Tamandua tetradactyla: one gene and its partner. The protein of the gene in region 1 binds, or shares a complex with, the protein of each later gene. Links are inferred from orthologs where the notes say so. Each region holds a gene or a part of one and is shown in the gene's direction. Other genes may lie near its edges.

Region 1 (3,912 bases):
CCTGCTCCCTGCTGCCCTCTTTCCCCACTGCTTCTCAGACATCCCTGACCCCCGGTAGCCCTGGCTCTTTGCCCTTCACCCCCCAGCTCTTTGCGTGTTTGCCCTAGACCTGCCCCGTTGAATCTGCCTCCCTCCTGGTTCCTCTGGTTTCAAGCCTCTACTTTACCCTGACCCTTTTCCTTGATGTCCGTTCCCTTACACCTCTCTCAGTGGAGTTCACCCAGCTCCTGAGCACACAGCAGGCCTGATCCTCATTCCTCCTGAAGAACAGATGCCATTGGGGCTGGAGTGAGGACCACACACTGCCCTTGAGTTAACCAGAGCACACCAGGATGAGATGACCCTCTTTCTGTGACTTGGGGTGACCCCGTCCCCCTCTTGAAACATTTATCCCTCCCCCTCTGCCATCAGCACATTCTGTAGCCTCTTGGGTTACCCGACTGCCTGGGTATCCCATTTTCCCAGGGGGGGGGGATTCCCTGTCAGAGATGGGGGGGCACTGAAGGCTGTGATCCTGCAGGCTGTTAGAGCAATTGGGGGGGTTGTTTGGGGGGAACAGAGGGCAGTCCTGGCTTTGCTTACCAGGGCCTGGACACTAAATCCCTTGTTGATGGCTGCGGCCACCCCTCCCTAGGGTAGGGTTACCATCTTCTGCCCTGTCCCCTTGACCCTCTCCCTTCCCTACTTCCCCTCATCCACTGCCTCAGCCCCTCAAAAGATGCTCTCCCCCTTTTCAGGTGACTGGAGGCTTGAGGTATCTCTGCTGCCCTTTCAACAAACTGGGTGAGGAGAGATTGGCCGGGGAAATTAGGTTCAGGGTAATCGAGCAGGAAATGAGGGTGTGAAGAAGTGAAAGGTAAAGGCCTGAGCATAGACAAGGACATAAAGGGAGGAACTGGGGAAATGAGTTTGGGATGGGAAATTCAGTGTAACAGAGGAAGTTAAGGCAACTGGAAGAGGGGTCAGTAAGTCAAGACAGTGTGAAATCTCCCCACCCCATCCCTTCCCTGGGGCTAGGGCCACCTTAGCTTCCCTCATGAGTGACATCTCAGGCTGCAGCCCCACTGTTCCCCCTCTGTCAGCAGAAATATCTCTCTCTTCTGACCCCTCCTGCTGGTATCTCAGCCAGCCAATCCCTGGTCTGGAGGAGGGGGGAACCTGGCCCCCCCACTCCCTCATAAGGACCAGCTGGGGGCTGGGGGGGGTGGCCAGCTGCTGCAAGTAGGACGGGGGTCAGAGATTCGTGGAGGGAAGAAAATCCTGGGGGGGGGGGGCAAGAGAGAAAAAGCAAGAAACCCAGACAGGCAGGTGGACACACTGAGGAAGACCCCCACACTTGAGACCCCTCCACAGGAAGAACACACCGCCCCGTGGCCCCCAGGAAGGGAGCACAATGGAGGCCGCACACTCCAAGACCACGGAGGAATGTCTGGCCTATTTTGGGGTGAGTGAGACCACAGGCCTCACCCTGGACCAAGTTAAGCGGCATTTGGAGAAATTTGGCCCCAATGGTGAGTGTCCCTTGGAGGAAAGGCTGGTAGCGCCCTCCTGTGTTTACCCCTCCGCCCTTTTCTCCCCCACTCCCACTCCCACTCCCACTGGAGCCTCTCTCTCCAGGGTAAGGCTGGACCGTGGTCCAGTGACTACAGGAGGGGAGAGGATACTGTGAAAACTCCCTGAGACCCCGAGTTTGGGGAGGTTTCATGGGATGATCCTGATGAACCTCAGCTGCCTTTTCTTTGGCCTGATTCTCTTATCTTAGCTGTAAAGCCTTAGGTATGAAGGGCACTGGATTGAGCACCAAATGATTATTTCCTTTTCTTCTTTTCCCCTGGGTAGAGCTCCCTGCTGAGGAAGGTAAGTTACTGGAGTCCCTGGACTCTCATAAATGACCCTCCCAACGCTGTGTCTCCTACTCCCATCTCCTTCCCTCCTCCCTCCAGACTCCTTGGACAAACATCCCTCCCCAAAGGTTAGAGTCTGGCTTGGGGAGGGGGCCCGCCAGTATCCCAGAAATTCCCTGTTCCTAATCCCGATCCAGGGCCCACTGAGCCCCTGGGCCCCTGCCTCCGCTTGGAGTCCACACCTTCAGCCTCTTGACCTGAACCCCCTCTCCCCTCAGGGAAGTCCCTGTGGGAGTTGGTAGTGGAGCAGTTTGAAGACCTGCTAGTACGGATCTTGCTCCTGGCTGCCTGCATTTCCTTTGTAAGTGTGGCATGGCTGCTAGGGACTGGGGCGGGGGGGGGGGGGGGGGGGGGGGGGGGTGCGCGAAGCCTGTTGGCGGCGGAGGTGCAGGGAGCGCCGAATCATCCGGTCGTCTTGGCCAAGCATCCTCTTCTACAGACCAAAGCTGGGGATGGGGCTGAGGCACGCCGAGACTCTCGTCCCTTCTGTCCTCCACCCTCCGCAGGCAGGTTTTACTTGAAGTTTTATGGGAGTTCTGGGCCAAAACACTGCAGCTAAACCGTCCCGCAGCTTCAAGGACTAAGACTCGGATGACCCCACCCCCACCCCACTCCACCCTACCTTCAAGCGCCCGGCTTCCAGGCTTAGACAAGGACTGAGGCTGTCCGCGCCCCAGACCACTAGTCCCGGCATGCCCCGGGGCTGCGCTCTACCAATCCCTGGGCCTCCCGGCGCCCCCGCCCCGCCCTCCTGACGCTGACTGGCTGAGGGAAGGACTCTCTGGTGGAAGCGGGAAAGAGCCGCTGGTGCGGGGGGAATGGGGCGGAGGGAGCGGGGAAGGGACTCACCACTGCTCCCCGAAGGCTATGGGCTGGGACTCCCGGAATCCCTTTCCTCACCCATCTGCCCTGGACTTCTCAGGCCCCTCATATCCTCAGAGCTGCCCCCCAACCTCATCTCACAACCTCAGAAAAAGCCCCCTGGCCTGGGGCCCCTTTCCAGCACCCAGCATCCCAGCTGTCCTACCACACTTAGGGGTCTCTTCCTTAATATCTTAGTCCTCCTGGAAGACCAGACGCCAAAGGCAAAAAAAAAAAAAAAAGTTTCCTTAGGTCTTCATCCCTGCAATTGGCAGGGCCTCACTTCTACCCTCTGGGATTTGCTCCTTGACATTTGCCGGTGGCTGTTGCCTGGCAGTGGCAACAGCTGGGGCTGGGTGTGTACAGGAGGCCCGTAACCCTATTCCCCCACCTCCCTCATGAAATCGGAGCTGCCCTGCCCATGGGCCTGGTGCCTGCGAGGACCGCAGGGTTTTTCTTCTGGGCTTTGGCTCCCCTGGGATGGATGTGGAGGTGGGGGGTGGTTGGCTGGGTGTCCCCTGGGCTTCATTTACAAGCCAACAACTCAGTCAGGGAAACCTGAAAGCATTCCCAGTCGATCCTCTAGTTGTACAGGGCTGCACGAGCCACCACAGAGCAGGACAATGCATGTGTAAGTGTGAGCCTCTGAATGTGTAGAACCTTCCCAACAGATGTGGGGCTGCACTTGCCCCCTGGGGCCTTGTTCCTTGAGCTCTGCAATGTTCTCATCGCTATGCGGTGGTCTTTGGAATACTTCTGCTTCCTTTCCTTACCTGTTAATCTTCCTCCCACTGTCCCACAGGTGCTGGCTTGGTTTGAGGAAGGCGAAGAGACCGTCACTGCCTTTGTTGAACCCTTTGTCATCCTCTTGATCCTCATTGCCAACGCCATTGTTGGGGTTTGGCAGGTTAGCTTGAGCCCTCTTCGCTCCTTCACATCCTGACACTGAATGTGAGACCCACCATACATTGCCAGTCTCCTCTTCCTCCATCACTTCCCCAGAGCTTACCTTGTCCTCTGGGCCTGTCACCCAGTATGGAAATAGAATGGCATGTTGAGACTAGGTGGGAGACTAGGGTTCCCACTGGCCCTTGCTGGCTGTATGACCCTGGGCAAGTTCCTTCATCTCTTTGAGCCTCAGCCTCCT
Region 2 (3,912 bases), on another chromosome or scaffold:
TTTTAAGTGGTTTTAAAAAGGGGGGGGGGGGGGATGGATATTGCTTGGTAACCAGGAAAACATTCTTAGCATTTAAACCATCTGGCAAGCACTTGGAGGCAAAAGATCGAAATCTGACTACATTCAAGGAGTTTGCCAGATGGAAACAAATAACTGCCAATGTTCAATTGTGCTATAATTATTATACACTACCTGTCACTTCAGCAAGCTCTTTTTACAAGGCAGGTGGTGACAGAATGCTGTATTAAGATTATGGGTTGATGGTGAAATGAAGAAATGGAATGGGAAGTCTTTCTTTTAGTGATACCTTTGGGGTATGTGAAAAAGGTTTGACTATGAACACAAATATTTAATTTTATTTGTTTTTGCCTTCTGGGAATATATTATTTCAGTTGCCCCTAATTGGGAATTCCAAAGGGAAAGTTATCCTATTTCTTATAGAGAAAGGATTTGTTGAGCAAACACAGTTGCAGGGGTCAAGTTTAAGGTACTTAATTGATCTGCTTTCAAGTCCAATTAAACACTTAGAAATTCCATTTACCTTCAAACATCTAGTATGCTGATTAAAACTTGTCTTAACTAGTCAGTGTTTGTATTTGAAATTAATAAAATTCTATTTCCTTCAAATATATTCTATAGTTCATGTTTTTCATTAATTTTGACCGGTTCTCCTTCTACCCCTAATCTATCCAAAGACTAGGTTTTGCTGTATGAGTTTAGTGCTGAATTAGTTTACTGATTGAATATGCAAACCTTCTTCTCACGCAAAACTTCATCAGCTCTCTCAGATGAAACTATCTTAATGTGTAAATTTGCAATGTACAGGCTTAACTGGAAAGTCCTGTAAAGCTGATGACTGAGAGGAACATTTTCACTACTTGGACTAAAAAAAGTCAGTTTTGAAGGAGCTTGAGCTGCCTTTTGAATTCTGGTGTGTATGTGTGTGTGTGCTCGCACACACATGCAGGCATGGGTAAGGAAGACAGAGAATGCTTTATATTTCAAGCAGGTAAAGATTTGAGGAGTGAAATGAAGTCCATTTTTTATACCCTGAGTAAGGGGAGCAGCCAAATGCAGCATCAATTTGTTAATAGTCTATCACTGTCTCGGGGTTTATGATGTTTTAAAGCCATGTTAGAGATATTCATGAATATGTAAAAGACAAGTTGGAAACAAATTAAATGCACCAGTCACCTTCGGAAACAGCAGGCTTTTAAGTCCTTGTGATGTTAATACAAATTAGCAGCCAAAGGAACAAAGTGTTAGTCAACATATTTCTCTGCTCCCCTAAACGCAAATAGCCTTGAACCTTCAGAGGTTGTTCCTTTGAGATGGTTCATCGGTGACATCACACTGGTTGCCACCTGCTTGGACTACTTTAGGTCCTGCCCAGAGCCCAGAAGTCACACAGCTCTGGAGGAGAGCCGGCGTTTGAAGAGAAGAAAGAGGAGAAACCCACCGCAGCCACGGTGCGTCCTTGACCCTTTTTGGGGGTAATAGCAGGATTTTTATGTTTAGCATACATTGTGTGCATGTGTGTTTGTGTACAAATTGCAAAGGAGAAAGGCAGAGGGATGTTTATATTTCTTAAAAGCAATAGGCAATGCCTATTGTATACAATTCTCAAGATGTAAAGTGAATATTATTGATTCTTATTCTCCTTTTTTTTTCTCCTCATGGTACACATTTTCTCCCTTCCTGTTTCTTTTTTTATGAAAATTTGATTTTCATAACATAGAAAAAGGGCTGTATTTCATCTTCTCAAAGTCTCCATTCAAAGAACGTCAATGTCAAACTTCCTGCTCAATTTATTCAGAGATATTTTGGTTTTTATTTCATCCACTTGGCAGTCATTTGGGATGATATGCTGTGAACTTGACAGAAACTTCAGAGAAGGTTTAAAATGGGGACAAAACTGTCTTTGGGGATTAGCAGCAGAAAAATGGAAATTTGCTGAGATGGATTTCTGTCTAACTTGGTTCATTCTGGGTGTAAATGTGTGTAAAAGTAAAGTCCACCCCTTACAATTAGCATTATGTGTTGAATTTAATTGGATAATTAATTGGATTCACTAGAAAGTGCTACATATGCTACAAACATACGTAAAATGAATGTTTTATTCATCCAAAAAGATGTAGAACAACAAATATTTCAAATTTACTAAATAGTAAGAGGTAAGCCTCAGGAAAAAAATAAGTTTGGTAGGTAGCCTATTAACTCAGGGACCATCTAAAAAATAAATGTGAAAAGTACATCAAACATGTGCAGTTTAATCAACAACTACAAGGCAATGCCCACCTGGGTTAAGAAAGAGATTACTGCTGGCACCCCAGAATCCATCCCTGATCTCCCACTTCTGCCACCCTAGGGAATCACTATTTTAATTGCTGAGATTATCTTTCCTTGCTTTTCTTTACACTTTTACCATCTATGTCTGCATCCCTAACCAATATGATTAAATTCCCTGTTTTTGACTTTGTATAATGGAATCATATTTTATGTTTCTTTTAAATTCTACTTTTGCCCATCACTTATGCTTGTGAAATCCTGTGTGTAGCTGTAGTTCATATACTTTCTTTGCTCTATTGTATTCCGATGCATGAGTTTACCAAAATTCATCATTTATTCTACTGCTGATGGACATTTGAGTTGTTTCCAGTTGGGGCTATTGTAAAATGCTGCTGTGAGCATTCTTGTACAGATCTATTCTGGTACACATGATCTTGAGTTGCTAGGGTAGAAGCGAAATTGCTAGATAAATAGGAAACAAGCATTTTTAAGTTTAATAAAAATGCCAAATTGTTTCCCAAAGTGGTTGAAAATTTACATTAATGTTGTTTTAGCCAGTCCAATTAATTGCAGTATTAACGCATTCTTGTAATCACTCCTATGCAGAACTATAATCCCAACATTAGTTCCAGTCTGCCAGTTCTAGCTCTGCCTCTAATTTGTTATGCATCATAACACAAGCAACTTAACCTCTTTCTAAGAGTCGTTTCTCAGAGAGTGGAAAAAAATAAAAATCATAATAGTACTTGCCCGAGTTGTTGAAGGTTGTAGAGTTACTGTGAAGGTCGCATCAGCAGAGGTGTGGAACAGTTTTCCTTAGCATTTCCTCACGTTCCGAGTCTATTTCTTTGGGACCACTTCACAAGACTCTTTAAAAGCTGATTCTAATAAGCAGATTTGGAAGGACAGTTATTGAAACCCTTTTTCAACTGGGTTGCTTTGATCATTGTAATCACACTCTCATATTTTCTGCATATCTTCGTAATCCTTAATTTATCCAAATAAGTAGGAGTTTGAACCAGCATTTGATTTTATTAATGAATTCATGAGGAGGATTCTGACTTTGATTCTGTTTCTGTGTCTCAAGCCTCCTGGCCTGAGGTCATCATCTTCCTGTTATCTTCTGCCCTTTGGTACATTCTTATATATTCTCTCTTCCTTTATTCATTCACTTTCTTCTGTTAACTCTCTCCTCAAAGTGAATCTTTGTGAAAATTTTCATTGGCAATCGACTAATTTTCTTCATGCATAGGGCCAAAAGATGGCTAAGAATTAAAAGGAAAATGAAACTTAAATCAGTCATCATTGGCCTCATTTTAAACCAAGATCAGCAATGTACTGGTTGGCACCACTGATTTGAACCTGTGTGTTATACCAACAATAACATAATTGAAAAATGATTATTCAGCTGATGCCTAAAGATTTAATAACTTGGTCAATTAAAAACACAGTAAATGCAATTTCAGTCTTGCTAGATGGCTAAACAATACCATTCAGGTCAAAATTTTAACAATTCTTCTACCTGCATGAACTCCCACCCTTAGCAAATTCCCTTTTCCACTAAACTTTTTCACTCCACATTTTTTTTGTCCTTAATATCTAAAATATTATATTTCATATTTT

Evidence for each region.
Region 2: the proteins of ATP2A1 (region 1) and SLN are in contact, whole or in part, in a crystal structure (PDB 3W5A), measured with the Oryctolagus cuniculus proteins. The link is inferred for Tamandua tetradactyla from reciprocal best matches to the Homo sapiens genes ATP2A1 and SLN. Residues at the interface, in XP_069919846.1 of Oryctolagus cuniculus: Phe88, Val89, Leu96, Ala100, Ile103, Val104, Trp107, Arg110, Asn111, Asn114, Arg324, Lys328, Trp794, Leu797, Gly801, Leu802, Thr805, Ala806, Phe809, Trp932, Ser936, Leu939, Leu943, Leu946, Ile947, Val950, Pro952, Leu953, Ile956; in NP_001075856.1 of Oryctolagus cuniculus: Met1, Glu2, Arg3, Ser4, Thr5, Arg6, Glu7, Leu8, Leu10, Asn11, Phe12, Val14, Val15, Thr18, Val19, Leu21, Ile22, Trp23, Leu25, Val26, Tyr29.

Annotation. Positions count from the first base shown.
Region 1 is NC_135349.1:25,051,530-25,055,441, forward strand, and holds the start of ATP2A1 (sarcoplasmic/endoplasmic reticulum calcium ATPase 1), read left to right. Parts: upstream 1-1,188; 5' UTR 1,189-1,393; coding exon 1,394-1,511; intron 1,512-1,839; coding exon 1,840-1,857; intron 1,858-2,122; coding exon 2,123-2,205; intron 2,206-3,296; exon of another isoform or gene 3,297-3,396; intron 3,397-3,567; coding exon 3,568-3,672; intron 3,673-3,912. UniProt on the Homo sapiens protein: Key regulator of striated muscle performance by acting as the major Ca(2+) ATPase responsible for the reuptake of cytosolic Ca(2+) into the sarcoplasmic reticulum.
Region 2 is NC_135334.1:34,162,808-34,166,719, forward strand, and holds the start of SLN (sarcolipin), read left to right. Parts: upstream 1-1,372; 5' UTR 1,373-1,469; intron 1,470-3,912. UniProt on the Homo sapiens protein: Reversibly inhibits the activity of ATP2A1/SERCA1 and ATP2A2/SERCA2 in sarcoplasmic reticulum by decreasing the apparent affinity of the ATPase for Ca(2+). Also inhibits the activity of ATP2A3/SERCA3.